4 linked regions of the Diceros bicornis minor genome follow. The protein of the gene in region 3 purifies or fractionates together with the protein of the main gene of each other region. This does not show direct contact. Links are inferred from orthologs where the notes say so. Each region holds a gene or a part of one and is shown on either strand. Other genes may lie near its edges.

Region 1 (7,085 bases), on a different chromosome or scaffold from region 3:
GAGGCAGTCACAGAAAGGTTGTTCAAGGATAACTGGTAAGGGAGCGAAGTTCTAGGGCTGAAAACCAGCCTCCTCCCTCCATCTGGCTCTAACCTTTAACCAGAGTAGCCATTTTATTATGTTTTAATCACATCTGTTCCATCTTGTAACAAAACTAACCAGAGATTCTCTTCTTCTCTACAACAGTTCACTTGCACTGTACTTCGAACCCATGTCCACTCAACAAAATTACAAGTCTTGGCCTGAAATGAGATTTTTAGTCTGTTCACAGAAATTCAAAATGTTCCTATCAGAACCTCACATCTCCCTTGTTGCTCTTGTCTTTAAGAAATGAATGTCATGTTCTCCTGCTAACTAATTCAATTTTAACTTTTTAAACACCAATGTGAAAATTCCAAAGCTAGGCCTTAAAACACGGTACACCTATCAAATGGATGTTGTTTATAACCTGGTACTCATTTTCCTTCTCACTGGCCTTTTGCTAAGTTGCTGTTAGTTCACTAATTAATACAAACACCCATCCTAGCTGCCCTCATGTCATGTCCAATTGCCAGGCATCAGGGCCGCTAGGCTCTGCCACTCCCCCAGCCCACCTAGCGGAGCCTGACTGAGGCAGTGCAGGGGAGGAAAGCAATCAACTTCTTGGTATCCCACAGCCTCTGTTTTCCCAGAACTGACGGTTTACTCTAAGCCTTTTGCAACAGTGGTCTCTGCAGCATGCACTACTGGCAACTAGATGTGTCCCGGAAAAAACTGTAGTGTCTGGCCAAGAAGTTTAAAGGCCTTCGAGAATGTTTGCTGGACACACAACCTAATTTCCAATTTACCAAAAAAAGAAACTAACTCCCTATCATGCCCACCCATCCTCACCCCAACAAACATCCTTTTTAGGAAGGTTACAACAAATGAACTCTGCCCCATTCAGAACCAGTTGGATTATCAATTAAACATTCTTTACTAGGCTCACACCAACAAGAAAAAACCCATAGGCACTACACCAAATCAACAGGGAAATGGCTGTGAGAAATCTTGGATATATCAGAGATAGGATAAAAAGTCCTATGGAAGGAATTTAAAGATTTATTCATACACATATAAAATATCAAACTTGAAGGCTGAGTCCCCTTATTTACTACCTCACTAGAGAAATAACATTACGTTATACATGTCAAAAACATGGCCCATCAGAAGGCCCAGCAAACATTATTCATGGAAACCATTCTCGTACAACAAATGTCAGGCTGTGTTCATCCACCTTCATTGTATTTATCAGACCCCACGGCATATTACCCACACCACAGAGCAGCGAGACCCAGGAATACACACCAGGTGCTTAACAGAAGCATTAGCCAGTAAACAAAGACCCCTCTGCACAGGCTGCACCACTGGGAGCAGATATCAAACGTGGAGACAATGAACTTGTTTTTGAGACGCCAAAGTACAATGATGTCTTTCCTTGATTGTCTGGTTTATTAAAGAAGACTGAATCCACCTGAGAATCATTTTTAGTGGCGAGGAGAGCCACAGAACACACACTTGATCTCCCCTAGCTGGAAGGCTAGGGGCAGCTGGGAAGTCAAAGCAGTAGCAGGCTTTGTACATCAGGAGCGAATACAATCCTTATCATCTCTCCCAGATCAATCTGTGGGTCAATAATCACTTCAATATAACTGCCAAATATAACCTTCATCTGCCACCCCAATGCCAAAACACATTTGAGACGACTCTCTTAAATTAAATATTTTAGGGTTTCATCTGCTCTTCTCAGCCCCCAAAGCCTCATAAACAACACACCCAGTTGAGTGTCCCACAGAAAGGTACCCACCTCTACAGTGGGCAGGGTGGGGGTGGTATCAGGGAGCAGAAGGCTGTGGGGGTTGGAAGGTAAGGGGTGTATGAGAGTGCGGGAGTGCGTGGGGGGAAGGGCTGGGAAGAGGGATTGTGTGGGAAGGTAAGTACTGACCAAGGCCCGGGAAGACGGTCCAGTGGTGGGATCTTTAAATAATCTTGGGGGGTGGAGGCAGGTTCTAGGATTTCACCTGAAAAGGCATCCACAGAGTGATTAACTGAATCGGCCCCCTGGGGTGGGGTGGGCGAGGCGAGAAGGAAAGCAAATACACCTAGATGCAGATTAACCGTTCTGGAACCAGGTTTCCTAGGGTTAGAGATTCCAGAGCAAGCTCCAAAAAGGTTTAGGGGCCTGTTCGTCTCACTTCCTCCAAACAGCTTCCACAGGGCATGAGTCCTGGAGGTGGGGGTTTTACCCCACTGAACTCAAGGGACTGAGCGAAGGGGAAATGTGACTCCCTTTCCCAGAAGATTAGGGAGGAAGGAGAGGGAGGGGAAGAGACACCCCAAGTGCAAGATCTGAAGGGAAAGGTTAGAGACCCCTTCCCCTATCATCTGAGGAGCGCAAGGCCTCTCAACATCAGGATACCTCGGACAAGCAACGACCCCATCGCCCAAGCCCCACAATCTTGGCGGGAGAAAAGGAGCCCCCCAGGAGCATCTAGAGGGAGGGAATGAAGACCCCCGCCCCCGAACAAGCTGAGGGACAGAAAGATGATCTGCAAATCTTGGGGAAGGAAGCCCGCACTCCCCTCTATGGAACATGGGGGTGCTGGGAGAGCGACCCCCGAGAGCTCCCCAAATCCAGCTCCGCCTGGAAGGGGACTAGGGTGTCCAGGGGCCCGGCGTGAGCTGGGTCCCGGCTGGGCGGCCGCGCCTCGGGCGTCAGAGGAAGCCGACTGAGGGTCACCCGGACTCCTCCGCGACCCCCGCCCGGCCATATTGTGCGCGTGGGGAGGGGGCGCGCTGTAGCCAGGGGCCGCGGCGCGAGGCCTCGCCCTCGCCCGGCCCTCTCCATCCCGGCCCCCGCCCCAGGACTCACCCTGGATCCCTCGGGGCCCAGCCCCGCCGCTGCCGGCGAGCAGGAGGACAACAAGAGGGAAGAAGGAGGAGGCTCCGGCCGACTCCGCCATAGTAACCACCGCCGCCGCCGCCGCCGCAGCCCAGCAGCGCCCAGCGCGCGCGCGCGCCCCCGGCGCCTCCCCTCCTCCTCCGCCCGGCGCCGGCACGTGCGCTCCCGGCGGAGCCGGAGCCGGCGCCGCGGCCGCCGCGCGCGCCCCCGAAGGGCGGGGCCGGGTGCGCGCAAGCGCCCGCCTTAAAGGGGAGTGTCCCTTTAAAGGGATGGGAGGGGTTCGCGCCTCGGCCAACCTCGCGGGTGGGTGCCGAGTGCGGCGCGGAGGAGGCCGAGCCGGGCACGCAGCCTCAGCACTCTCCTGCACCCCACATAGCGCATAGTTATTCTATCTGCACCGACCCCCTTCCCCCGGCATCCAGTGTTCTATGAGTCCGGTGCGTTCCCTTCCTTTCATCTCTACTGCCTAGCCTCAAGCCCCCATCACGTCCCACCGGGGTCATGGGCACCGTCTCCTAACTGGTCTCCCTGCCCCGTCTGGCCCCGTGCAGTCCTCTGGACGCAGAGCAACCTGTGTGATGGAATCATGGGATGCCCCTTTTCAGAACACACCGAGGCTGTTAATGATAGTACTCAATCTTGGCGAGGGTGCTGTGTGAGGCACTCCCATTGTGCTGGTAGGTGGAACCCTTTTGGTAAACAATTTGGCATTATATATCAAATGCCTTAAAATATTCATACCCGTTGACCCTGTATTATCCCCTGTCTTCGAGAAATAATAGAGACAAGGACAGATATTTATGAAAAATGTTAACTGTTGCATATTTATTATTGTAAAAAGCTGGAAACTTAAGTAGGCAATAATGGACAACTTAAAATATGGCCCATCCATATGATGATGCATTATTTAGTAATTAAAAATTATGTTTATAAAAACGAAGGACATGAGAAAATGTTCATGAGATAATGTTAAATGAAAAAGCAAAATACAAAACTATGTACGGTATTCTAATTTTGTTGATTATATGTATCTATGTGGAAGGAAAAATGAAAGGAAATGACTCAATATGATCAGTTATCGCCAGATTAATTATTTACTTTTTCTTTAAACATTTCAATATTTTCTAAATATTTTACAAATAAACAAGTGTTACTTTCTATTATAAAAGGTAAACTAAATCACCCGTATCTTTTTGAAAGGAGTTCACTTTCTTTAGCTTGAGAAAGAGCTTGAGATCATGAAAAGGGCAGGTCTGTGGAGCCAGAATTCTGTGGCTGAATTCTCCTTTTCTAACTAACTGGTGTGAAAACTTAGGCAAGTTTTTAACCTCTCTCAGCTGAATTTCCTCATCTGAGATCTATGCGTGGGGAGAATGACCAAAGGCGGGGGAGGATTCTCAAAAGGAATCCTCGCCTTATAAGTTGTCACCAACCTGAAGAAGGCCCATCCTCACATCCAGAGAAAAGACTACGGACACATTCCCCCGACACAACTCACACACAAACACACGTGCCAAGTCATGCAGAGGCACTGTCTACAAGTTCGTCAGTGTGGCTGGATGAGTAAACACCTTATTTTTTACTGCTCTCCCTCATCCCCACAATGGGCACCCCCCCCCCCCCCCCCCCCCCGGTCCCTCTAACTGGTCTCCTAAGCTCCGCTCCACCCACCCTTAGGGCTTCCAGCTGTGGAAGGCAGGGCGCTAGGTTACTGTGTTAGTTTGCTAGGGCTGCCAGAACGAAGTACCGCGAACTGGTGGCTTAAAATAACAGAAATTTATTCTCTCACAGTCCTGGAGGCTAGAAATCTGAAACCAGGGTGTCAGCAGGCCGATGCTCTCTCTGAAGGCTCTAGGGAAGAATCCTTCCTTGTCTCTTCCAGCTTCTTCTGGTGGTTCCCAGAATCCTTGGTGTTCCTTGGCTTGCGGAAGCATAATTTCAATCTCTGTCTCTGTCTTCACGTGGCCGTCCTCCCTCTGTGTTTGTACCTCTGTATCCAAATTTCTCTCTTCTTATGAAGACACCAGTTGTTGGATTAGGGTCCACCCTAATCCAGTATGAATTCAAGTAATTTTAACTTGTTGACATGGAAAGATCCTATTTCTAAATAAGGCCACGTTCACAGGTTCGAGGTGAACATGAATTTTGAGGGGACACTATTCAACACAGTACATTCACCTACCCCTACAGTGGGGAAGGGAAAGCTGACCGCTCAGGAGCACATCTCTGAGGCCAAGGGCAAGTGACTGACCTTCCCTAAACCTTGCTAAGTGCTGCCACTGTGGCTGTGAGACCAGGAATCGCAGAGGGGACCTGTGGTTACTTAACTCCTGGACTGCAAGGTCAGCCACATACCTGAATATAGCCCAGGAAACCAGAATGCTGCGTCCACAGACCAAACACCAGCTCCATCAGCTCACTTGATAGCATTTGACTTTGGGCAAGATGTGTTACCTCCCTAAACCTCGATTCACTCATCTGTAAAACGGAGCTGATGATGGTTCTATCTCATAGAGATGTTGTGAGGATGGATGAAGATACTGTATGTTAAGCCCTTTGCATAGTCTCTGACACATAGGAAGTGATATAAAAAGAATAGCTGTGATGATGATGATGATTTGACCTTTACTACAATCCTATGACGTGGTTGAGGCATGTCAGGGTATGCACAATTTACGGGTGAGGCAGCTGAGACCTAGGGAAGGTAAGCGACTTACCCACGCTCACATATAATTAAGTGTAGAAGCCACAGCCTACTAGACCTGTGCCTCTTCAACATCACAGCATCTCACGCTTTCCCAGGGACTGGTCTTCAAGAGCCAGGTGAAGGTGGGAAATTAGACTTGATGGGGTGTGGGGGATGGGGGGGTAGTAGTATCCCTCACACCCTATTCCTGACAGTTTGGGGCATCTCCTCAAGTCAGAGCTTTCCTAGATGATGCATCTACCTTGCCTTTTAGGTCCCAAGCTGCACCGAGACAGATTGTCCAATCTCCCTCTGCTTCCTCCCACAGCCTGGTTCTCCTACCATCCCTGAAGCCCTCAGCAAAGTGTCCATTTCTGAAAGCCTCCTTAATCTTAGGCCTGGACCCACATCACAGTCTATGAACTACTTGTCCGTCCTGCTGTTACTCCCCAGGCTCCACTGACTAGACCATCCGGTGTTACAGCTGCCATCTTGGTCACAATGCACCAAGAGACCCCACCTCCTGGGGGATTCAGCACAGTTTGCCTTGGCGAGCAGCAGGGTCATTAATCCCAAGAGGGCAGTAGCTCATCTTCATTCATCTATTCTACAAGTACTTATTGAGCACCTACTGGATATCAGGTACAACATACAAACATGGATGAGTCATGGTCCTTGCCCTCATGGAACTTACAATCTAACAGAGATGAGCATGAAAAATAAAAAACCAACAGTGTGTTATATGTATTCTATAGCACACACATGTAAAGGGTAAGTGGGGGCACTCAGGAGGGCATGGATGATTCAACTCTGCAGGGACAAGCTAAGGAGGTGGAAAAGGTTTCATGAAGAGGCCATGCTACAACTGACTATTGGAATATCAAAGAGTGTTGCCTAGATAGACAAGCTTGTTTGGGGCAGGGTACGGCAGGAGATTATTCCCGCCAGAGGGAGCAGTATGGACAAAATACCAAGGTGAAATTGCCTGGCATTTGGGGGAGCCGTAAGCAACATGGCGGCACACCCAGAGGGTGCTCGTTGAAGGAGCCTTGAGCTGAAAGGTAGTGTTGGAGAGATAGACAGACATGGAAGTACGCTTGAAAGTGTACTTTTCTCCAGTATTTTTGGAAGGGTTCTAAGCAAGGAGGTAAAAATCACATTTGTGTTTTAGAAAGACCGCTTTGCTGAACCAAAGGAACTTGAGCTTTGTGCAAATGGTTGGAGGAAGGCAAGACAGGTGGGAAGGAGACAGAGAGGAGGCAATTCCAGTGGCCTAGACAAGATAGGAGGAGGACCCGACCCTAGGCAGCAACAATAGAGATGGGAAAAAGAAACAGGTTGAAGAGATTTTAAGTAGGTAGAAACCACAAGACCGATTGGATGTGGGAGGTGAGGAGGAAAGGGGATGGCCCTCTATGACTCCGGGATAATCTGACTTGAGCGTTTGGCTGCTTGGTGGCTCCATTCAGCAGATTAGCA
Region 2 (7,414 bases), on a different chromosome or scaffold from region 3:
AAAACACACGTGGCCCAGTGGAATTGCTGGGTGAACATCAGCCCCACCTATTATTACCCATACAAATAGCAACCTCAAACTCCAAGATGACTTTCTCATTTGATCTCCATGCTCTCATGAATTAGGAAACGCAGGTATCGTCCCCATTTTCTGCACAACTAGAGGTGAAGTTGGGACTCATAACCAAAGCTAATAACCAACTGCTTCTTTCACCACATCATACGACTTTTCCTGATTCTATACACAGAATTATCAATTAATATCACATGAACTGTACATATAACAGTATAAATACTAAAGGAATACTCAGTCAAATGCAATTCACTTAATGAACAAGCATTTAAGTGGAACAAAATATAAACCACAGTGCTAGGTTCTGAGAGCATAAAGGAAATAAAAGACATGACTCTTGCCCTCTCGGTACCTATCACATGTTCAAGAGTATAGTTAAGTAACAGTGCAAGACAGCAGAAATGGACAGCACAAACTGTAAGTGCTATACAGCTCAGGGAAATGGAAAGTTCAGGAACTAAACCAGTATAGGAAGTCAGGATCGAGTTCTCTCCTCATACTCCCAGAAGCGGCAAAATTAAGTATACAGTGAAAGCTGCCAAGTCAGGAGTCAGAGGGAAGACAGAAATTGCTGGAATTGAGGGCTTGCAGTAGTGAGAAGTGAGCTCTGGCTGGATACTCAGAGATGGCCCTAATCATAAGCTTCAAGCGCTGCTCTAACTGCTGAATACAAATGGGAAATCTTGTAAACCCTTTATGGGATGGCTGAGGAAGATTAGCAGTAGCCTATAGAAAAGCCTAGATGAGAGAAACACTGGAAGCAACTAGATTTGAGGGATAACAGGCAGCCTAAAGTGATGGCTGCGTACAAAGAGGAGACATTCAAGAGGCATTAATATAAAGAAGAGTTGAGTTTTAGGCAAGTGTTCAAAGAAAAAAGTTATGAAATGGCAGAAAGGAAGCAAACAACATTCTCACATGGGTTATATACATAGATGTAGTGGGACTAAACTGTGTACCAGGAACAGGGAACCCATGTTCCTAGAGAAATCTGTATGGGAGAGAGCAGAAGCTGGGCAGAGAAATAAAAAACTGATAACCCAGACAATAAGGAACAACTGCAAGCTCTTAAAACGAGGCCAGGCAGACCAGCTGAGGTAGTCCAGACAAAAGCAACAGCACCTGTATCAGCTTTGTGTTGCATGCATGCCAGTGCAGTGTGTAAGCTCCTCCAGGGTGCGGACTCAGCAATCTGTCCATCAACTAAGGGGAATACTGTTATTTGAATACCTGAACACTCTGTGTGCTAGGCTAGGTGGAAAAGAGTGAACTACACTATTTGAGTTAATGGTGTTGTGGAAATGTTATGTATGCTTGACTCATAACTATATTGATTCTCCCTGCTGTCCACATATTCATCTTGCCTGCCTCCTTAGGCCAATGTCCAAAATCCATTGTTTCCTCTAATGCAGGCCCAGTGTGAAGGGACTCCAAGAATGCAGTAGGAATCAGAAAGAAGCCAACCTGATTTTCAAATTGCAAGAGCAAAATCTAAATGTGAATAATAAAGATCAACTGCTCGTTACAGGACTGAAAAAGAAAAATGGGCTATGCAGGACGGTTAGGTGTATATACTAAGCTTGTACAGGTTTTGGAATACTGAACCCTGGGTGCAAACCCTAACTCCAGCTCTTAGTAATTGAATACTTAACTTCTCCCCTGCCTCAGTTTTCTCATCTATAAAATGGGGCAAATGCCACTAGCCCTGAGGGCTTAGTTGTGAGAATTAGATAATGTACTTCGGTGTACTTTATGCATCTACATCATAGTCAGCTCTTAACAGACAGTAGCTGTTAGTAATAATTGGCACCCTCAGTCTTGAGTTTTTTGTTTTTGCTTTTTAAAATATCTGGTATTCAATTTCAGAAACAGAAACGTATTTTCACTGTATTTTAGTTTCCAACGCTAAGGCTCTATTATTTTAGTTTCGACTATCTTAGTTTGGATGCGAACAAAGTTTTTAGTTCCTCCTTGCACGACGGTAGGTGATGACCACGTACCCCATCCTGATTTAATATTCCGGAAAACGGAGCAAACATTTTCCCTTGAAAACCAGCTACACAGACGACTGATTCAAACTACTGTCACTCAAGAAAGGGAACATCACTAGCGACGTTCCTTCGAGGAAATAAAAGCGTTTGATCAACTCACAGAGTCGTTCCCATTCAAATACTCCAAACGCCGCAGAGTGAGCAAACGTTCAAGTTTCTACTACGAAAACAATCTGCACCATTCTGATTCCCGGATCCACTTCAACCCCTCCAGACGCCCGAAAGGAGAGCCCCTCCGCACATCTTCGTGCCTCCTGCTCCTCCTCACACGAAGCTCCGCAGTTGCCCCCCCGGAGCCGCGCCCGGCCCGAGGGGCAGCCCCCTCGGCGGGGTCGGGCCGGCGCCGAAGGCCAGGGCGGCCCCGCTGACCCCGGGGCTCCACCACACGTCGCCCCCGCCCGCCGCGCGGGGAAGCCTGGAGGCTCCGACCCCGACCCCGCCCGGGCGCCTCGCACCCGCCGCTCGGGGTGGGGTACCCCGGGGGCGCGGGGAGCAGCCCCAGGCCCCGCCAGCCTCACACCCCCGGCCCTCGGCGCGCGCCCACCGCCCCTCAGAGGGCAGCCCCCGACTCGGACGGCCCCGCCCGACGCACCTCCCCGGGAGCGGGGGCGGCCGCGGCTGCCGGGCACGGCCACCCGCGCGGACACACGCCCCCGCCCCGCCCGGGACAGCCCAGCGCCGGCCCCGGCGCCGCCACCTGCGCCCCCGGCCCCGCGCCATGTTTGAGAAAGGGAAGGAGCGAGCCAGAGGCCCGGCCCGGCCCGCGCGCCCCGCCGCCCGCCGCGCCGCCGCTCACCCGCCGCCCGCGGGACCAGCGCCGCCGCCGCCGCCAGCACGAGGAGGAGCAGCCGGGGACGCGGAGCAGCGGCCGCCGCCTCCATGGTCCCCCCCGCCACCGCCTGTGGCCCGGCCCGGCCCGGCCGCCGCCTCGCCTCAGCAAGCCTCGCCTCGCCCCACCTCCCCCGCCGCCGCGGCGGCCTCGCTCCGGCCCTTTGTAACTGCTCCGGGGACGCGCGGCCATTGGCTGCCGGGCTCCCGCCGGCCACGCCCCCCGGCCGTCTGCGAGCGGCCGCGCGGGCCCCAGCCCGGAGCCCCGCCCGCGGGCCCGCCGGGCAGCCAATCCGGGGCCGCAGGCGCCCGGCCGCTGGCCACGCCCCCACGCTCCCGGGGCGCCGTGCCGCCAGACCCCGGTCCCGGCCGGAGCCGCTCGCCGCTGGGAGCAGGCTCGGTGGGGCCGGGGTCTAGGGAGCCCCTGCCCTGCGACCTTCCAGTCCCGGAGGAAGGTCGGGACGATGGGTGTGTCTGGGCGTGTGTGAGGCGCTTTCGGAAAAGGGCTGTGGCGGCTCGACGCTCTTTTCTTCTAGCCTCCTCTAGGCGCCTAAGATCTGGGACTGACCCAGCGCCGCCCCGGCCCCCATTCACAGCCCTGCACCACCCATCCCCATTCACCCAGACCCGCAGTACCGCCGGCAGGCTTCAACTTCCGCTCCCCAGATCCACGCCTTAACTTTCAACATCCCCCCCAAGATTCTTCGTCGTTGCCCTTCCTAGACGACTCAGTCTCCTGTTTCCTCCCACTGTCAGCGTCTAGCCCCAACCTAGGCTCCCCGCCCCCCAAATTCCAGGCCCAGAAAGTCCTCAAATCCTGGCCTCAGGTCCCAGCCTCAGACCTCACATCCTAAGCTCAGACATACCCCCGAATAGCCTCCCGCCTCCCTCCGGAACTCAGAGCAGACCCAGAACGGCGCTCCAAACCACACTCCTTCCCTCTTACCCCTCCCTGATCCAGGTGGGAAAGGGAAGGCCCCCCCCCCAAAGGAGGGGGATTCCCCTTCTTAGCACGCAGCACCCCCGGGGCGGAGAGGAGCAGTCATTACTTTGAGCTGCCTCTGACACGCCTGCACAATAATTCTGAGGTGTCGCTGGAAACCCAAATAACCTCGGCTACGTTTTCATTCTGAACTCCTACTTGACTGTGAGACGCTCCACCCACCTTCCCCCCGGGACGCCAAAATGAGCTCCAGATTTGTAATTCTTCCTGTCAGACTAGTCCTCTCTTCAGACGCAAACACAGCCAAGGAGGCTGCTACAGAGAACACAGAACATTTTTCCACAGAACCTTTTAAGGAGAAAATTTTATTTTCTGTGTGATTTGAACTTGGAATGAAATAAACCTTGGGAGCAGGGATCGGAACCAGCCCTTAGCATCGCTTTGTCAATTACTTTAGCGCGACCCCGTGAGCCTGTTACCTGCCTGTGAAGACCTCCCTTCTGAGCTGCAAAGCGACAGGATGCGGCGTGGAGCTGGGATCTGAGACCTGCCCTATTCCCCTCCGGGCTGGGACAGTTAAACAAGTCAGTTGGCCTTTCTGAGCCTCCATTCTTTCATCTATAAAATGGAAATAATATCTATCTCCCAAGGTAAGTGAGAGGATATGATGAGATTTGGGGGTTCCACATCCCGCTTTCAAGTTCCACTTCTAGGCCCTCCCTCCAGACCCCTCACCTGCCCCTCTGGAGAGGTGAGGGCCTGGTATACACTGAACCACCTCCCCAGGGATGCAGCTACTGCTAAAACCCAGGTCACGGCCTGCTCTCCAGGGCTGCTGGAGACAACAGCAGCAAGCTTTCCTCTCGCCCGCCGCAGAAGGCTGACCAAACCAGGAGAGACTGCTTCTGGCCGGCTCCAGTCCCAGTCTGCTCTCTCTGTTCCAGTTTCTTCAGTGGAGACTTGGTGGGTCATTCAGGGCCTTGTGACACCTGAGGTCGCAAGACTGCTTTTTTTGCTGCTCTATTCTCAGCGTCTTGCATAAGAGCTCAAGAGATATATATTGTATGAATGAATGAATGATTCATCTCGGACAAGTGACTGTTCTCTCATTACAAGGTTCTTCATCTCTAAAACAGAAATATAATGGTACCTACCCCATTTATAAATGAAAGGGGTTGAATCACACGTCTTAGGCCCCTTAAATGACGTAATGTGTCTGGAATATAGTAAATATTTAGTTAATGCCATTTCCTTTGCCCATCCCCTTCCAGCTCTGTATGATTCTAATCAGCATGCGTGTTCATGCTAATCCAAGCCTTTGCCGTGCAGAGCCTCAGTTAATCAGCGTTAGGATATCTTCTATGACACACTTCCAGTTCCTTAACATTTTCCATGCAATGGAGTGTTCCTTAGGACACTGAGGAACAGGAAGGAGAAAGAGGCTATTTTTAAATTTTATTTTCCTAATATTTGGAGGAAATTTCCATGAGCCACGGATCCATGAATAAACTACCTTAGAATGGAATAATAAATTATAAGTTTAAAATCATGGTTCTCAAACTTTAAAATGTCTCCAAATTACCTGGGGAGCTTTTAAAAATACAGATTCCGGGGTGTCAGCCCTAGAGAGGCTGCTTCCGTTCATCTGAAGGAGGTCCAGGAGTCTGCATTTGTAATACACACCCCGGGTGATTCTGTTGCACGTGTCACCAGGCCACACTTCGAAAGACAGTGCTTTAGAAAGTATGCCCTTAAAATTCAATAAATAAAAATGTACGCACTTATTTCACCTTTTGAGAAACTGTGGGTGATGGAAAGAAGCCTCTGGCTTTGGAAGCCTTCAGACCCTAGTTGGAATTCCAACTCTGCCATTTACGGGTTGTGGGATCTGTACACACTGCTTGATCTGTCTGAGGTTTCACATCTCCTGGTGTGAAATGGGATAATGACACTGACTCATGGATTTGTTGTAAGGTCTAAATGACCTATATAGCACATGAAGACTCTATCATAAATGTTAATTCCCTTCACGGTCTCTATGGGCTCTCAAAAAGAGTTACAGGTTTGTTATTCTAACATTTTGATTTAAAGGAGAAGAAACTGAGGATCAGTCCCCCAGCAAGTCAGCTGCAGAGCCAGGACTAGGAGACGAACTCCAGGACCTTGTCCCCTATGTGATGCTACCTCTCAATCTTTATACTGAGTACATTGTCTGCTTTTCCTTTTGGATTATTCCCTTAAGTAAGATGTTTTCTCCCAAACAGAGAGCAAAGACTGCTGGTTGCCTAATCTATACCCATTCCTACATTCACTTTATAACAGAATCCTCATTTCCTTTAGGAAAGCAGTTCACCTAGGTAAAAATCTCAATTTCCCAGGCTCCTGGCACCTAGATATGGCTATGTGACAGAGTTCTGGCCAGTGAAATATAAGCGGAAGTTTACCGGGTAGAGCTTGTGGGAAAGATATTGTTTTCCCTGTAAAGAAGAGACAGACTCATCACATTTTCACCTTCTTTCTGCCTGGAACACAGTTGCATTGCCTGGAGGTGCAGCAGCCATCTTGTGAACATAAGGATGTTGGCTATAACTAGGAATAGTAGAGAGAAAAGTGGAAAGAGTCTGGGTCCTTGATAAAGTCCTTGAGCAACTGTGCCAGCTCTAAAATGCTTACCCTGGAGTCCTTACTATATGAGAAAAATAAACATCTTCCTCTTCTGTTTTTTTTTTTTTTTTAACCTTAAATCACTTCAATTCTAGTCATATGCTATCATTGTTGTGTATTTTATTTCTATCTTATTTTTTAACCCACAGGATATTATTGACTTATACCATTATTGTCTATTGCTAGCTCTTGGTGCTCCTAATGGAATAACAAATCACCTGAAAACTTAGTGGTTAGAATAATAACCATGTGTTCCTCATGAGACTCTGTGTAGGCTGGGCAGTTTTTCTGGTCTGGGCCAATTGACGCTGACCTCAGCCGAGCTCGCATGAGTCTGCTGTCAGCTAGCAGGTCAACTGGGAGTTGAACAGATCTGTAATGGTCTGGATCAGCTCCTCTACGGGGTTTTTCATGCTGAAGCAGGCTTGCCTGGGCGTGTTAACACGACAGTTCAGGGGTCCAGGATAATGAGTGCACGTTTACAGCTGGCACAACATCATTTCGCCACATCCCAGTGGTCTGGGCATGAACTGAGCTGAGCTCAGTTTCAAGGGGTGGGGAAACAGACTCCATCTCTTGATAAAAAGAGCTACAAAATCACCTTGCAAAGGGGCGTGGATCCCAAGAGACGAATACGTGTGGCCGTTTTTGAAACCCTTTTTACCATTTTTTCTGATCTTCATTTCTTTTTACCTTGAGACTTTCCATCTGAAATCACTTTCATTCTGCCTGAAGGATATCCTTTTGAATTTTCCTTAGCGAGAGTTGGCTGGCGGCAAACAATCTTAGTTTTTGCCTGACTGAAACGTCTATATTTAATCCTTATTTTTGGACAGTGTTTTCACTGGCTATAGAG
Region 3 (7,164 bases):
CTCCAGGCCACGGTCCTCTCTGCACTTTTTTAAACTGTCTTCCCTTCCATCAAACTATCCATTCTTCCCACCCATTCTTCTGGCACTCCCAGAGTCTCCACATTTTCCCATCAACCTGTCCTATTTGGTTCCCAGGATACTTCTGCGTGGATCAAATTCCACGTGTTAAAGCTGAGCCAACTTTGGCCACGGAGTGCAAACACACGAAAAAGGAACAAAATGTAAAGCATATCTAGGAAACGTCGCTGCCTCCCCCCTAAACATATATACATATCTCCAGCCACAACAAAAACAGGAAAAATCCACCAAACTTCCAACAGAGGAAACCTATAACCACCCCCGACCAGACCCAGCGCCTCCCCAAAGCCACTGCCTAGACATAAAAATCTTGGTTCTAGAGGCTCCATTTCTAACTTAAGATAGGAAGGATATTTTTAAAATCATCTACTCACCAGTTGGTTTGAGAAAATCCATCGGGTATCTGGAGTAAGGAGGAGGGGGAGACTCTGGAATTAAAAAAGTAAGAGAAAATAAAGGCCGGGCCATGAGAAAGAGAGATAGAAACTTATGATAACAGAGGCATTCTTTTAGCCCAACTGTTTGTCTTAGCTGTGGGGGTTGGAGGCAGGGCCGCGAGGCGGTGATTGCCTTGATATTTAGCTGTCAGATAAACAAAAGAGGCCGCCTGGCGCCAGCCTCGGCGCTCCGCTCCTCCACGTCTGCGGCCGCAGCCGCCGCGCTCCACCGGCCCGGCTGGAAACCACCGGCTCGGCCGCGGCCGCGCACTTCACAGTTCACAAGGCGGGGGTCTACATAGCCCCCTCCCCGTCCCCGAACTTCAGCCTCGCTCCCACTGTCCACCGCCCAGGCCCGCCCCCCAGGGGCGCAATTCACCTCCGCCCCCGCCGCTGCGCTCCGCGCCCGCGCGGGGAACGCGGGGCTCCCCTTACCCAGCCCACCCGGGAGGCGCGCCCCAAGAGCGCTGGTGAACGTAGGAGGGTCTGTGGGCGCCCAGGATGCACCCGCGCCCCCATCCCCCCGCAGAGACGTTGAGAAAAGGGAAGCAATGGAGGCAGCTGGAAGGATAAAGAGGAGGAGGCTGGGGTCTTGGCGGCGAAGCCCAGGCCCCAGCGCATTAAGAGGCAGCAACGTCACGGAGGCGCTGGGGGCAGACCTACAGTCTATACAGTTCCATAGTCTGCGCTTTCCTGTGCTGAAAGAAAGGAAAAAGCAGGGGACACGCAACTTCTCCTGACTGCTTGTTCTTTTCCACCCTGAGCTGGCAGAGTTGAGAGTAGATATCCAGTTTGGCCTCCCTCCCTCCCTCACCCTCTTTGCCCCAAAACCCCAAAGCTGCGCATCCAGGGCAGTATCCGGGCCACTTGTGCACGACGTGACTCTCCTTATTTACTAAAGGAGCAGAGGCTCTCCAGCCTTTACGATTCGCTTCTCCCAGCCTTCCTTGGCGGGCTTGGACCGAATCCAACTCGGCCACACACCTCAACGCCTTTCCGGGCGCGGGGGAGGCGTGACCCCCAGTTCTCTCTGCACCCCGAACTGATCCGGAAATGAGAGCGTCTCATTTTTAGCCACACGTCTGTAGAGTGTGTGCACGAGCAGTGCCCATAAGCCCCCCTCGGAGCAACCGAGGAGAAAAAAACTGGAAGGGAACCCCCCAGGGAATGCCCTTCCAGTTTCCCCTTGTTCCTTCTCTACTTTGGTCGCCCAAGTCTCCTCCCAGGAGGGAATGTACACTCCCCTCCAGAGAGGTGGCTGCACAAACACAGCCCGCAGGGGCTTTTCTTCCACCGCTTGAGCGCCAGGGGGAGGGGAAGGTGGGCACAGAACAACTTCTTACCTAGTTCGCAGAGTCGGCTAAGGTGATGGGGGTTGCAGCACACCAGCTCGGGGTTGATCTTCCCGTAAGATTCACAGCAACACAGCCTCTTGACTTCCGAGGAATGCCTGAGATCCGGCCACCTGAACACTTTGCACAGCAGGAGAGGGAGCGAGTAGGACGAGGGCGGCTGCGCGGGCTGCGAGCCGGCGGGCGCCCCCAGGCCCAGCCTGCAATCCAGGCGGCCGGGCAGCAAGAGACACGCGGTGCGCGTACCGCCGCGGGACTCCACGGCCTGGAGCAGCAGCTCCAGCTGCCGTTCCTTCAGTTTCTTGAGCACCGAGTGCGTGAGTGCCTTCAGATCCGCCTCGGCGCCCCCGGCCGCGCCGGCGCCCGCGGCTGGGGGGTGGGGATGGTGGTGACCTTTGACACCTCGGACCGCCTTACCCAGGCAGCAGCCAGCCCTGCCCGCGCCGCCGCCACCGGCCCCATGCGCCCGGCCGTCCGTCGCCCCTTCTCCCCGCAGCTCGCCTCCTCCTCCGCCTCCCCCCGCACCCTCCTCCTCGTCCTCGCCGCCGGGCGCACGGCTCCTCCAGAGACGCCGGACGAGCGCAGATCGTTTGGTCCTGAACATGCGGGGCGAGGAGGCGAGGAGAAAAGTCGTTTGCCGGCTAAGGAGCGAACATGACCTCCGCACACCATGAAGAAGTCGGGCGCCGAGTTGGGGCAGCAGGCGCAGGCGACAGCAGCAGCAGCAGGGGCCTGGGCAGGAGCGGCGACGGCCCGAGGGGCGCTCCGTGGCATGCGCCAGTCTCCCGGAGGCCGGGGCGAGCGCGGGGGCCCGGGGGCGCCCGCCGGGGCTCGGGGGCCTGCGCTCCGGCTGCCCCACCCCGCGCGGCCCGCGCCGTGCGCGGCTCTCGGGCCCCGGCGCACCCCGGAGGAACGCGGCCGCCGCTTCCCTGGGGAGGACGAAGCCTGCCCGGGTCGGCGCCTCCCCAAAAAGAGGCCCCCCCGCAGCGGCTCCCGAGTGTCGGGCTCGCCAGCCTCAGCTTCCTACATGGAAGATCCGCGGGGGGCAAAAAACGAAAGGCGTTCGGCTGGGCTGCTGGAGGGAGGAAAAAGCCTCTTTCCCCCTTGCTAAGCAACTTAATTTGGGGGTGGGGAGAAGCAGGCAATTAAAAAAAAAAAGCAGGCACGCGATTTATTTTTTTCCTCTATATCCTTAGTAACCGGATCTCCTCGAATTCCGTGCACACGAAGACTCGGGGGAGGGGGCCGAGTGGACTTCACCCCGCATGAGATGTCTGGCGAAATAAGGAGGCTCTCTCAAAATCTAAGAACCCAATATGCAAAGCCAATGAAAAACACCACCTCCTCGCACCCCGGAGGTCTGGGGGCGTCCGGCTGGAGCTGGGGTTTAAAAAAAGAAAATCTTTACAAAGTAGAACGAGACGTTTGAGGGGTGGAAAAAGCGTATCCACGAGTTACATCCCCCTTTTTTCCTTGCAGAGCCCCGCGGGTCTTCCTCTCCTTTTCTTCTGCCAAAAGAAAAAAATCGTATATTTTTTTAATCCACAGAAAGCTTTGGCTAGGCTGCTTCAATCCTCCGCATCTGGGTGTTTTAAGGGAGTCTCTGGTCTTTCCTCCTGCGCTCCCGGGGGCCCCAGTCCTCGGAGGGGACTTCCTCGGGGCTGGCGGGGGCGCAGAGGCAGAAGATGCTGCTGCGGCGGCGGCGGCGGCTGCGCCCGGTGGGGCTGACAGCGCGGGGGAGGGCGGCGCGGCGGCGGGCCCCTGGCGGGTCGCGCGCTCTCGCCCTCCTAGGCGCAAGCTGCTCGCTAGTGCGGGGGCCGCCGGCGCCCCCTCCCCTGGCCGCGGCTGGCCGCCGGGGCTCCCCGTGTGGGCTGCTCGCCCCGACCCGGCTGCGGCGGCAGGAGGCCCCGGTGTCCTCACGCTGCCTCCTCCTCTGAGACTCTCCTCGTCGCGCCCGGGAGCCTCCTTGTCCCCCGTCCGCCCTCTCCTGGCGCTCGGGTCCTTCTGCCGCCGCCGGGGGCTCGCCGCGCCGCACTCAGGGGCTCCGGGGCCGGGAGCTCGGCAGCTCGGCGCCGGCGGGCTGGCTCTGTCTCCCGCAGCTCTCTCCGGCGCAGCGAGCGGACCGAGCACGGCGCCCGGCTGGCTCGGCTGGCGCGGCTCGGGGACAAGCTCCTCCGTGCGCCGAGCGAGCGAGCGAGCGAGTGTGCCCGGGGCTCGCCGCCTCCCGCAAGGCCTCCCGCCCCCGCCCCCTTCCCTCCCCCTTCTTCCCCCTTCCCTCCCCCGCCCCCAGCCGCCGCCGCCGCCTCTTCCCCGCCCCCCGCCCCCCCCCCCCCCGCCCCCGGCCCTCTGCTCTGCTGGTTCCACTGCGCAGTGGCGCGCCCGGCTCCGGCCTCGTCACGTGGCCGTCTAGACACCCTGTCGCTTTAAAAAAAAAAAAAAGCGATTGTGTTTCGCAAACAACAGATCGGGTTTCTAAAAGCTATTTCTCCCCCCGCCCCCCCGCCTCCGCCACCCCCTCCCGGGCCTGCAGAGGGGGGACCAACGACGGGGGGGCGAATAAAGGTGGGGAGCAGAGAAGCTCCCAGAATCGACTGAGACCTGGCCGGATCAGAGGAGAAATGGGAAGACCCGAGAGCACCGAGCGGGCTTCGCTGGCGAGTTTTGGAGCGGAACGAGCGGGTCGGTGGCCCAATTTAGACCCAGCCGCGGAGCTTCGCCGCGGCCGTCCCGCGCGCGCTCGCCCTAAGCGCTTCATTCATTCGTTCCGTTTTAAGGGCCCTGGCGGCGGATCCCCTGGCCGCGCAGGAGGGAAGGGGGAGGAGAGCGCTGTCTCCGTCTAAAAGACATTTACACCGGACTGGACCGAGGCCCTGGGAAGTGTGCGCTGGAGGGAACAGCCGGGCCGCCGAGGGCGGGGAGGCGGCGCGAATGTGACCTCAGCGGCGGCCGCGCGCTCCCTCCCGCCCTCTCCCGCTCCGGGCTCGGGTTTCTAGGACTGCCTGGAGAAGTGTGTCTTGTGTACAGCTCTGGAATGCATTTGGCTGGCTGACGAGCTGCGAGGGGCAGCATCCTGGCGGGAGAAGTCGGGGGGGGGGGCGGAGTTGCCCGCCCGCCGCGGGCAGGTTTCCTCCGGAGCCCGGAAGACCTCCGCCACCCCGCCTCCCAGCGCGGGAAGGTTACCTTCGGAGCCGACCTGCCTAGGGCATGCATATGCATGCGGGGCCTGCTTCTGCGCCCTCCACGGTCTCGTAGCTTTCAAGGTGCTTAGGGTCAGAGAGTTTATCCCTTAACCCCGGGTTCGGGAGAAGCATAGACCCAGCTGGCAGATTACTGCATGAAAATGGGTGAGGATTGGTAGGGCAAAGGACGAGAACGCGTTTACTTGGTGAAAGCTGATGGTACTGAGAAACATAATGACTTACATATATATGCATCAGTACTAAGGAGGCCACTAGTTGGCATGGTGATCTAACCTCACTTATTCAGTGACATAAGATTTTTTTTAAAGTCGTTTAGAATTGTGAGATCAGGACAATGAAACTCATTGGGGATTTTAATAAATCTTTAGAAAAGACGAAATGTACTATTTTCATTTTCCCAGCTAAATTATACTTTCTTAAAAGGAAAAGGCACAGGGACTGCCAGGTGGGGTTTGCTGGTTCGGATCCTGGGGGGCGCACCAACGCACCACTTGTCAAGTGGTCATGCTGTGGCGGCGTCCCCATATAAAGTGGAGGAAGATGGGCATGGATGTTAGCCCAGGGCCAGTCTTCCTCAGCAAAAAGAGGAGGCTCAGCAGATGTTCGCTCAGGGCCCATCTTCCTCACAAAAAAAAAAAAAAAAAAGGAAAAGGCACAGATGAATCTTAGCTTTATAGCTCAGCCCCCTACCTTCCAGCAACTTAAAAGGAGTCTGACATGCAATAGATGCTTAATAAATATTTAGGAATCAACAGAGTTGGATAGGACTTAAAGGAACATTTGGACCACTCCCCCTCCCCCAACCCACCAAAAGCACCTTTGAAGACATAAATGTGAGAGAAAAACAAGAGACATTGGTTACATGATCATCTTCAGGCAAGGGAGCCCTGAAGTTTATTGACCTAGAAGACACTGCAACGCCAAGCAGTGCAGAGAGGTGTGTAGGACAGGGCATTCTAAACATTTACTTTGTAAGGCCACATAGGCTGCAATTGTATAAGATCATAATTTGGTTATAAGTAAAAATGCTGCTTATCAAGAAGGACATTGAAACCTTGTGTGTCTGTGTGAAACTTTCTAAAGATGCAGCCTGCAAAGACCGCAGCTGAGGAGCCCAGGGGAAAATGGAGGAGGGAGGTTTGGACCCGGGTGAGCCCATCATCCTTGGCAGGGAAAAGCAGAAGAGATAGAATGAGATTTTTGAGGTGTGTGGGAAATGTATAACATACTCCCCTTAGAAAGGCTTAGAAAAAATACCAGACTAGAAGTCAGAAAACCTGATTCCGGGCTGGGGCTCTGCCACTCATGGGTTAAATAACTTGTACTAGTGGTGACCCTCACCACTAGTTGAGCACTTGGCAGGGTTTAAAAGCTTTCTGGGCAAAATTTCCTGCCCTCTCGGGGTCCCCTTCCCTCTCTCTACTCTGGGCCTCACTAGAAGATCTTCAATTTTCAAGAGAGGCTAGGCCAGGCTGCAAAGTGACAGGAAGGACTTAAATAAACAGATTAAGCAAATGTCATAATTCTAATTAAGCTTCTTGGCTAAATGAAGAATCTGGAGACTTGGAAATCTGGCCAGTGGTGCTAACACTCTGTGATGAGAGGACAGAGCACGCACAGGGCAGGTAGGTTCAGTAGGTGTTTCAGGAGTTGAATCTGACGTCACAGCTTGTCTGGGTGGAACATGCATATACTTGCACAGATATGCTCCCATATAGTGTAATTGTGGGTATTTTAATTCAGGCGTCACCCCTATGTTGCCCTCTACACACGGTTTTCCTCCTCCATTTTACTACCCTAGGTAGACGATGGGTGGGATGCTGGGCAAGTAGCTACAATGGTTGGTGCTGCTTTATGGCTCCTTGGCATCCCCTGAATCAGTTCACATCCCAAGCCTTCCTGAAAGCCAGCGCCACGCCATCGCATTCTTATTTCTTTCCCTTCCAAGAAAGAAGCTGGGCGGTAAAGGAACTCCCGGCTGGCTCGTGTGCCTAGAAAGGGAGTTCTTTTCCTTTCCACAGGCACACATGAAACCGACAAGCACCCCGTTTCAAACTATTCTGATCCTGTAAAAAAAAAAAAAAGTTTAGGAGTTCA
Region 4 (7,743 bases), on a different chromosome or scaffold from region 3:
TTGCCTCAGTTTTGACTTTTCTGTCACCATGAAATCTAGTACCAAGCATATCATAAAGTTTGTTCTTCCTCATCTCAGACTTTGTAACTTATTTTTATCTCTAGAAAGTCAGTTTGCAGCTAAAAATCATTCACTATTTACAAATAAACAGAAACTCTAATATTCATGCAGAATCAAATTTTTACCCTTGCCTAGATGTTAGAGTTAGTTACCAGAGTACTACAAGACAGTCCTTATTTGAAAAGTGCTCACAAACTAATTAATGAAATTTATTCATTTTAATGCATTTTACTATAACATTAAAACATCAGTATTAAACTTCCAAGAGTAAACTTATGGTCAACCTACCAGTTTTTTAAATAGACCAATCAGTCTTTCCAAGATGGTTTTATATATACGTGTATATATATATACCAAGACAATGTTCCATTTGCATATGACCCATTTCAGCTATAAAATAACAGATAGGATTTGCCAAAAGACCCAGAAATGACTAATCCAGAGACTTTTTTTAAAGACGTTAAAAAGAGAAATAACTTTTTAAAGAGTTCCAAAAACATGAGCTCAACAACCAAATTATTAAATATTTTTACCAGTTCTGTACACATGAAGACACTGTCAAATTTGTAGTTACCAAATTACTTTCCTTAAAACTGTGAATCAAACTTTTACTCTACACTATTTCCTTTTTCGACTAGTTTCACCTGCTAATTGCAAGTGGCTCACATATAAACCAAACTGGTTTCTCCAACTCACCAGTACCATCTCATTCCTGCTTTCTTTTTCCCTTTAAATAGGAGGGGAAATCAGCGTGAGGGTAAAAATTTGCACATTCTGCTGTTACATAAATATCTGAGCCTCAGTTTCCTTTTCTTTAAAATGAAAGCACTGAAATCACTCAAATTTACGGACTTCCTGTATTTACTTAATCTCTAAAATAGATCTTTAAAATGATTTACAGTAACTCTGTCAAAAAGCGAAAAGACTTTCATTTGAAAAATACCAAACTTTACAAAGTTTAATGCCGACAATACACAAATTGCTCCTATCATCCTGTAATGTTAACAACACCAATTATTACTCAGTATACCAAAAACATAACATTAGAGAGAAGCAATATCCATATAAATCATACCCAGATTTAAACTTACAGGTTTCTATTTTATGGAAATCCACATTTGTCTTTTCATGAGGTGTTAATAGGGTAGGTGAATTAGGAATTTTTAAGTGTTCTTTAACAAACAATAGGAAGCAGGAGTTGATTTCCTCTTTAACAACCCACAGGCCAACATAAACATGTGTCGTAAACATAAATGTCATAGGAAATGTCCAATTTCCCCACAGTAACAAACATCTTAGGAACACTCCAATATGAACAATAACGATTATTAAATCATATTTTTTGCTGTAATGCAAGAAGTATATGCTTACACCCTTAGAGATTTTTATCATATAAACATAGTATGCAGCCTAATGAAGTGGGGAAAAAAGTACCAAGACTTAGATCAAAGTACTTCAATTCAAGTCCCAAGTCTGCCATCTACTAGCTTACTTGAAAATTATCCCAATCCCAGGGCATTTTTCTAGAAGTAAAGGGTGGTGATAAGAAGGTAACTAAAATCTAATGTGATAAATAGAAAAATCTTTTAGAATATTTCACCGAATGTAGATAAAACCCCTATAATGAAATTATTATTGTCCATTTCATAGATGAAGATACCGAGGTGCAATGATTTAAATTAACTTTCCTCAAAGTCATACTGCAAGTTAAGCGCTGGAACGGTGGCCTGACTCAGGTCTAAGTCTTATGCTCTCTCCACCAAGCCATACTGGAGTACATGACAAAATACTGTAAACTATATACCCCTGTTACGGTGACACTGGGAAGGGAAAATAATTTTTACTATAACAAAGAGGCACATTATCTTTCCTAATAGAGCACCTTCCCTTTATGTTACATATTCACACATCGAAGTTATTCCGGATACCACTTGATACGGCCGACAAGTATTAAAATCTCCACATATCTCCTTCAGTATTTTAAGTATATCCTTTGGTACTCTACAAGTTTGAATACTGGCAAGAGACTTAAGCCTCAAGCGGACTTATCTACTTTTTGCAGGCCTACGTTATCCCTCAAACAGGAGGGAAGGACTGCACTTGCAGGAGAAACGCTACCGGTTTCTCTCGAGCCTCCACTAAAGCACAAGACCACGTGGTATCGCTCAGCAGCCCGAGGTTCCCTACTCCTCTCCCTCCTTTTGACAAGGAACTGGAAACTAGGATTTCTTTCCCTGAAGTGGCGCCCTGACACATGCCACCTGTGTAGTACGAGCCGCAAACATCCTGCAGCCTGCCTCCCGGAAGAATACAAGAATCCGAATAATAGGGAAGCTGGATGCCGACGAGGCCGGCAAAGGAAACGACTGGAGGAGCGAAGCCGGTGAGCCCGTGACCCGCCGCGGCACCGGGACCTGTCAAACCCTGAGGGACTCACGCCGAGCGGCTGAAGCCCATCGTCCGGGAAGGCCCGGGGTGGGAGCGGCACTCCGGAGGAAGGAGGACGGGGAGAACCGCAGGAGCCGCCGCCGCCGCTCCCCGCAAGCCTCTCAGCACGCCCCGACAGGCCACCAACCCCGGGCCTCATCTCGAGTCCAATCTTTGCCCCCACATTTCGGGAGTGGCCAAAATCCTGCTGCCCAGAGCGGCCGCCGCCGGACCTGCCCGCACCTGTCACCAGCGAAAGACACCAGCCCGCAGTTCCCGCCCTGCTCCCCACCATCCTCGGGCCATCGCGGCCACCTCAGCCCCTTTCCCTCACCAGGTGTCCCCTTTCCGGAGCGAGGTTTTGAGCAGAGCCGCGATGTCAGACCTCTGGATGTCCAGATCCGCCGCTCCGCCTTCCGCCATCTTCTTCCACTAGCGGCAGCGGAGGCGGCGGCGACGGCGGCGGCACGCCCCAGAGCATTGTGGGAATGGCGTCCCGCGGCCCCGCCCAGCCGGCAGTCGAAACCAAAAGAGCCGGAAGGTGGGGGGTGCGCCTCGGCACAAGAGTCGGCCCCGGGGCGGGCTGAGCGCGCTGCTGTGGTCTGCTGCCCCCCACCGGCCCCCGCCCGTCCAGCAGCTCGCCTCGGCCTCCTCGGCCCGGCCCGCCCGGCGCTAACTCTCCGCCGTGGGGCCCCGGTCCGCTCCCGCTCGAGCGGTGCCACCGCCCCGTCCGTCCTCGACTTCTGCCTCCCCTCCCTCTTTCCCACAGACGCCCGAACGCCCTTATTTGCGCATTCACTCACGCTCACGGTGGGTGGGGCGGGGGCGTGGGGACGCTAGGACATGGCAGAACATTTCGACAGCTCCGTGACTCTGGGCTTTTCGTGCGAGCTCGCTGAATCTTGGCCCAAACAAAGAACGATCCGAAACCGAACGCCTGGCCGCAGTGCCCTTCCTGGGCTCCTTCCAGCGCTCCTGCTCCTGCTGTGCGGGGACCTGCCACAGGTCATTGTGCCGCCTCCCCAGGCACACCCAGACCGCCAGCCGCGGTGAAAACACGTCCCACTTCCTCGGCGGACAGGGTGTCAGATAGGTATCGAATGATGCGGAGTACCGAAGGGGAAGAAAACGCGCGAGAAACCCTTTCTCCTCGATGTCATAAAGCGACGTATTCTTGGCCGCAACTCCCCGTGGTGTGTGCGCCTGAAACTAGATAATAACACCAGCTATTTGAAGCCAATTACGTTACAAATGGGGAAATCGAGTCTCTCAAAAATCAAATGCCAAGGTCATACCGTAAGTGGAGAGGCAAGTTTATACCCCAGGTTCCGAAGCCCACGTGCTATCTGTTCGCTACAGCACACTCACTACCTCTCCCTGCGAAAATCGGAACTAAAATGTAAACCGGGCTGCACTGGATCCATTTTTTTTTAACCTCTGTACAGCCGGTGGCTAGCACAGTGCTGCCTAACATGTAAGAACCACCTAAATGTTTGTTTGTTTAATAAATGAGTTTTGGCAACATGAGGATGTTCAGAGATTTGACTCTATTAAGATAACATAGATGATGTGGGAAGTCTAAAAGATGGTTAAGAATTCCTGGATGATCTCTCTTGTTTCCCCATTTTAATGTCTGCCTCAGCTCATTTGGTGGGAATGATGGGTGTAATTATGCTAGTACGAAGTCCTGAACCCTTCCAAGTTACAGTAGTGTTTGTTGGCATTATGATTTGTATGCATCAGCGTTATAGTTGCTTATTTTCTTCAAAATAATACTATTTTGTATTATGTCATCCTTGATTTGAGAATCTGAAAACAGTTTCTAGTTACTGCTATTTCTTATACTATTTGACTTCTGACAGGTTAAGAAATTAGAGTTTCTCTTACCATGAATACCATCACATTTCCCCCCTTTCCCACCCAACCTCTGAAAGAGAGCAAACTAATTTTCCAAAGAGAGGCAGCATAGTATGGGAAGAATATTGGAGTCATATGAACGTGTGTTCAAACCTCATCTCAACCTCTAGCTGCAAAGTTCTTAACTTTTAGTTTAATCATAAAATTGAGGACAGTAAAAATCCTTACAGGATTTTTATGAAGATTAAATGAAACAACGTGTTTATTGCCTGGGACATAATAGCCAATTAATAAACACTAGCATTGCTATTGACAGGATGAGTTGTATCATATGTAAATTGTATCTCAATAAAGCTGTTGAAAAAGAGCACTATGGACTTTGAAGGCAAAACCATGCTTTCTATCATTTATACACATAACATTATCAAGAAGCGATGCCTCAAGCACACTCTGCTGTTCAGTTTCCTTTCAAAGAAAATGCATTTTTGAAATGTTGAAGCCTGTATCCGTGCAACAAATTAAAATAACTTTTCTTCATTTGCACCATGTTCAAGGCAAGGAGTTAACTGGATATAGATGTGTAAATTCAATGTCAACTTGAATTATATGTCAGATTTGTGAGGTCATTTTGTTGACCTAACTAGATGTATTCGGAGTCAGAAAAGAACTGATAGTTACAGTATTTTATTTAACATGCACTTAAAGAGTGCCAAGCCCAGTTCTAAACACTTTAAAGTGTTAAATTAACTTGATCCTCATAGCAACCCTGTAAAGTCGATGTTATAATTTCCATTCTGTAGATGGGGAGTTGAGGCCAAGGGCAGAACCCAAATTTGAAAATGAGCAGTCTAGCTCCAGAATCTAGAAGGTTTGGGTAAGTTTCTATTTTTCCACTGACCTTTATGATTTTGATTCTAGCAATCAACTTTCTAGTGACCTCAGTTTACTAATTTATGGAAATCTGCTTGTTTTACTAATGCTTCTTCTACCCTCAATTATGAAGAGAGATAAGGTGTTGTTCATAAATACTAAATTAAGGTCCGCATCGCTACTGAATCACTAAGTAGATAATTGATGAGAAATGTTACTTTCCCTTAAATTACCCAGATAATTGAATATAAACCTGGGGTTATATCTGCTTATTTTTATTGAGCATCTTTGTAACCACAGGCACACTTAGAGCCAGTTGGAGCAGACCCCATCTCTTATCAACAAAGTGATTAAGGATTGTCTTTCAGAAAATCTGCAAAGTCGTGTAGCCAGAGTATGCGCAGAAGAAGAATTCTTGACCTGAAATGACAATGGAACCAAGGATCCTCCTCCGCATGGAACCAAAGGATCAGAACACGACTGGAACTTAAAAGTCAGACTCTTATCAGAAGTGAGGAGTCCCTCATTCAGGAAGATCCGGTGTTAAAATTCCTTCCCCACCCTATCATATAAGTTGAGAAACTCATCATAAAAGTTTAGAATGCTGTCATAAATGTTTAGAACCTTACCATAAATGGTTGAAGCCCACCAATCAAAATCTGTCCCACCAGCATTTCCGCATGCCAATCTGTTTCCGTAACCACTTAAATTTTGCCCCAAATCCTGAGTCCAGGAGACAGATCTGAGGGCACATGCCCCCTTCTCCTTGCAGATCAATCTCGCAGAATAAAGCTGATTTCTCCCCCAAAAGCTGATGCCATAATTAATTGTTTTTTTAATGCATATCAGGCAAGAGAACCCCAATTTTGTGTGGTAATGTCTTCATTGATGCTTCATTGATTGCTTAGTTAACTTTATAAAGATGTACTATTTGTTTGGTGATTGTCATTACCTTCTCAGACTTTCTGTACCCTTCTTGTCCATTAAAAACTTGACTTAGGGCTTTGAGAAAGGAAAAGGAGTGTGCTGGATGCTTTAGAAATTAGGCTGGATATGAACAAAGTGCACCTTACATAAAGGCGGAGTAGGTTCTGAAATTAGAGATACTCTGGGAAAGATCCCTTCATCTTTCAAATAATTCCCCTCTCAGCTCGCTGATACGTAAGTGATCTTTTTCAGAGAGGTTCTTGTACTCCACAACTAAAAGATAGGACTTCAAATATAAACACTCCAGGAGAGAGTCAGGCTTACAACTGAGGAGTCAAATGAGAGGCAGTTTTCAACCTGGGATGGACCACAGAAAGAAGAAAGAACACTGTGTTTTTTAATAGAGTTGAATGGAAGAAAGTACAAAGGAGAATTCCAAGACAACCTTTGCCTACTTGACAGTTTTGTATGGCGCTGGCTACACAAATCTAGGGAAAAATCTGCCAGAATCAACACATTCCCTAAAAGAACAATGATTGATGACCTAGCTGTCTTTATTTCTCAACTCTTCCTATCTTTGGTCTTCAGGAACCACTGTTTCCCTTTATCCTTCTTCCCTGTTCTTCCTCTAGTTGTTCCCTCTGATTACCCCCTCACCGCACCTCCCATTCCTGTTCACCTCTCTAAGCCCTTCATTCTTTTCTCTTTCGTAATTTTATAACTCCCTCCTCCCTTGACTAGCTCTCTGAACAGCTAAAAGGCAGTGGAAGCGGGGGCGTAGTGCAAATGCCAAAACAGCATGTAGTAAAGTGCTTAATCCATTAATGAGATTTTGAAACTTGCGATATGAATAAAAATTGTAAGTGCCACGATGCCGTTTTTAAAACTAAAATATATATATATACACACACACACACACACACACACACACACACACACACACAGAGGCTCTTTATTTCAGACAAATGTTAGGTCCTGATAAACAGAAAGAAAAAGTAGTGAAATGAATACAATGTCTTGTACAAAGGGCCAGTATACTTCGATTTTGCTTCTGGCTTGGTGCCACTAACTACCTGGGTAACCTTGGCCAAGTTATTTAATCCCTGTGGGCATTAGTTTTCTCGTTATAAAATGAAGTGATTAGATTCTTCCAGGGCTGAAACTCAAAGGCTTGCAAGGGTTAGATAGAGCTACGTAAGTGGGTGAAGCAAATCCGTTCTAAGATAGCAAGGAGTTGTGGGGACTCCGAGGAACTGTCTGACCCAACTAAAGTTATTTAGATTAAAATATTTGAACAAAATTACATCTCCTACCCTAAAGGACCTGGAAAGTTTCATTTTAACATGGGCATGAAGTCTTCAAATTGATTAATTTGAGTTGATTAATCTGAATTGCTACTTTATATTTTGATTAATAATCAAAGTTCAATCAATAATCAAGTAATATAAAGTTGCTACTTTATATTTTCTTTTATGGAAGCACACACAAATTGCTATGAAAGCTGACACTAGCCTGAAGGGTGATGTCAGTCTACTCCATAGTAGATACACACTAAATGATAATAGAATTAAACTGAATTGAATTGATAAACAAATCCAATAG

The links.
Region 1: the proteins of SMAD7 (region 3) and ACVR1B purify together in Homo sapiens (affinity purification with western blotting; 3 studies listed by BioGRID and IntAct, with this or other methods). This does not show direct contact. The link is inferred for Diceros bicornis minor from reciprocal best matches to the Homo sapiens genes SMAD7 and ACVR1B.
Region 2: the proteins of SMAD7 (region 3) and TGFBR1 purify together in Homo sapiens (affinity purification with western blotting; 19 studies listed by BioGRID). This does not show direct contact. The link is inferred for Diceros bicornis minor from reciprocal best matches to the Homo sapiens genes SMAD7 and TGFBR1.
Region 4: the proteins of SMAD7 (region 3) and USP15 purify together in Homo sapiens (affinity purification with western blotting; 3 studies listed by BioGRID). This does not show direct contact. The link is inferred for Diceros bicornis minor from reciprocal best matches to the Homo sapiens genes SMAD7 and USP15.

What each region holds. Positions count from the first base shown.
Region 1 is NC_080756.1:18,121,309-18,128,393, forward strand, and holds the start of ACVR1B (activin receptor type-1B), read right to left. Parts: upstream 3,010-7,085; 5' UTR 2,982-3,009; coding exon 2,891-2,981; intron 2,380-2,890; exon of another isoform or gene 1,964-2,379; intron 1-1,963. UniProt on the Homo sapiens protein: Transmembrane serine/threonine kinase activin type-1 receptor forming an activin receptor complex with activin receptor type-2 (ACVR2A or ACVR2B).
Region 2 is NC_080767.1:9,159,052-9,166,465, reverse strand, and holds the start of TGFBR1 (TGF-beta receptor type-1), read right to left. Parts: upstream 3,020-7,414; 5' UTR 3,005-3,019; coding exon 2,920-3,004; intron 2,337-2,919; exon of another isoform or gene 2,224-2,336; intron 1-2,223. UniProt on the Homo sapiens protein: Transmembrane serine/threonine kinase forming with the TGF-beta type II serine/threonine kinase receptor, TGFBR2, the non-promiscuous receptor for the TGF-beta cytokines TGFB1, TGFB2 and TGFB3.
Region 3 is NC_080755.1:41,553,826-41,560,989, forward strand, and holds the start of SMAD7 (mothers against decapentaplegic homolog 7), read right to left. Parts: upstream 3,002-7,164; 5' UTR 2,472-3,001; coding exon 1,859-2,471; intron 507-1,858; coding exon 453-506; intron 1-452. UniProt on the Homo sapiens protein: Antagonist of signaling by TGF-beta (transforming growth factor) type 1 receptor superfamily members; has been shown to inhibit TGF-beta (Transforming growth factor) and activin signaling by associating with their receptors thus preventing SMAD2 access.
Region 4 is NC_080756.1:7,670,016-7,677,758, forward strand, and holds the start of USP15 (ubiquitin carboxyl-terminal hydrolase 15), read right to left. Parts: upstream 3,008-7,743; 5' UTR 2,911-3,007; coding exon 2,822-2,910; intron 1-2,821. UniProt on the Homo sapiens protein: Hydrolase that removes conjugated ubiquitin from target proteins and regulates various pathways such as the TGF-beta receptor signaling, NF-kappa-B and RNF41/NRDP1-PRKN pathways.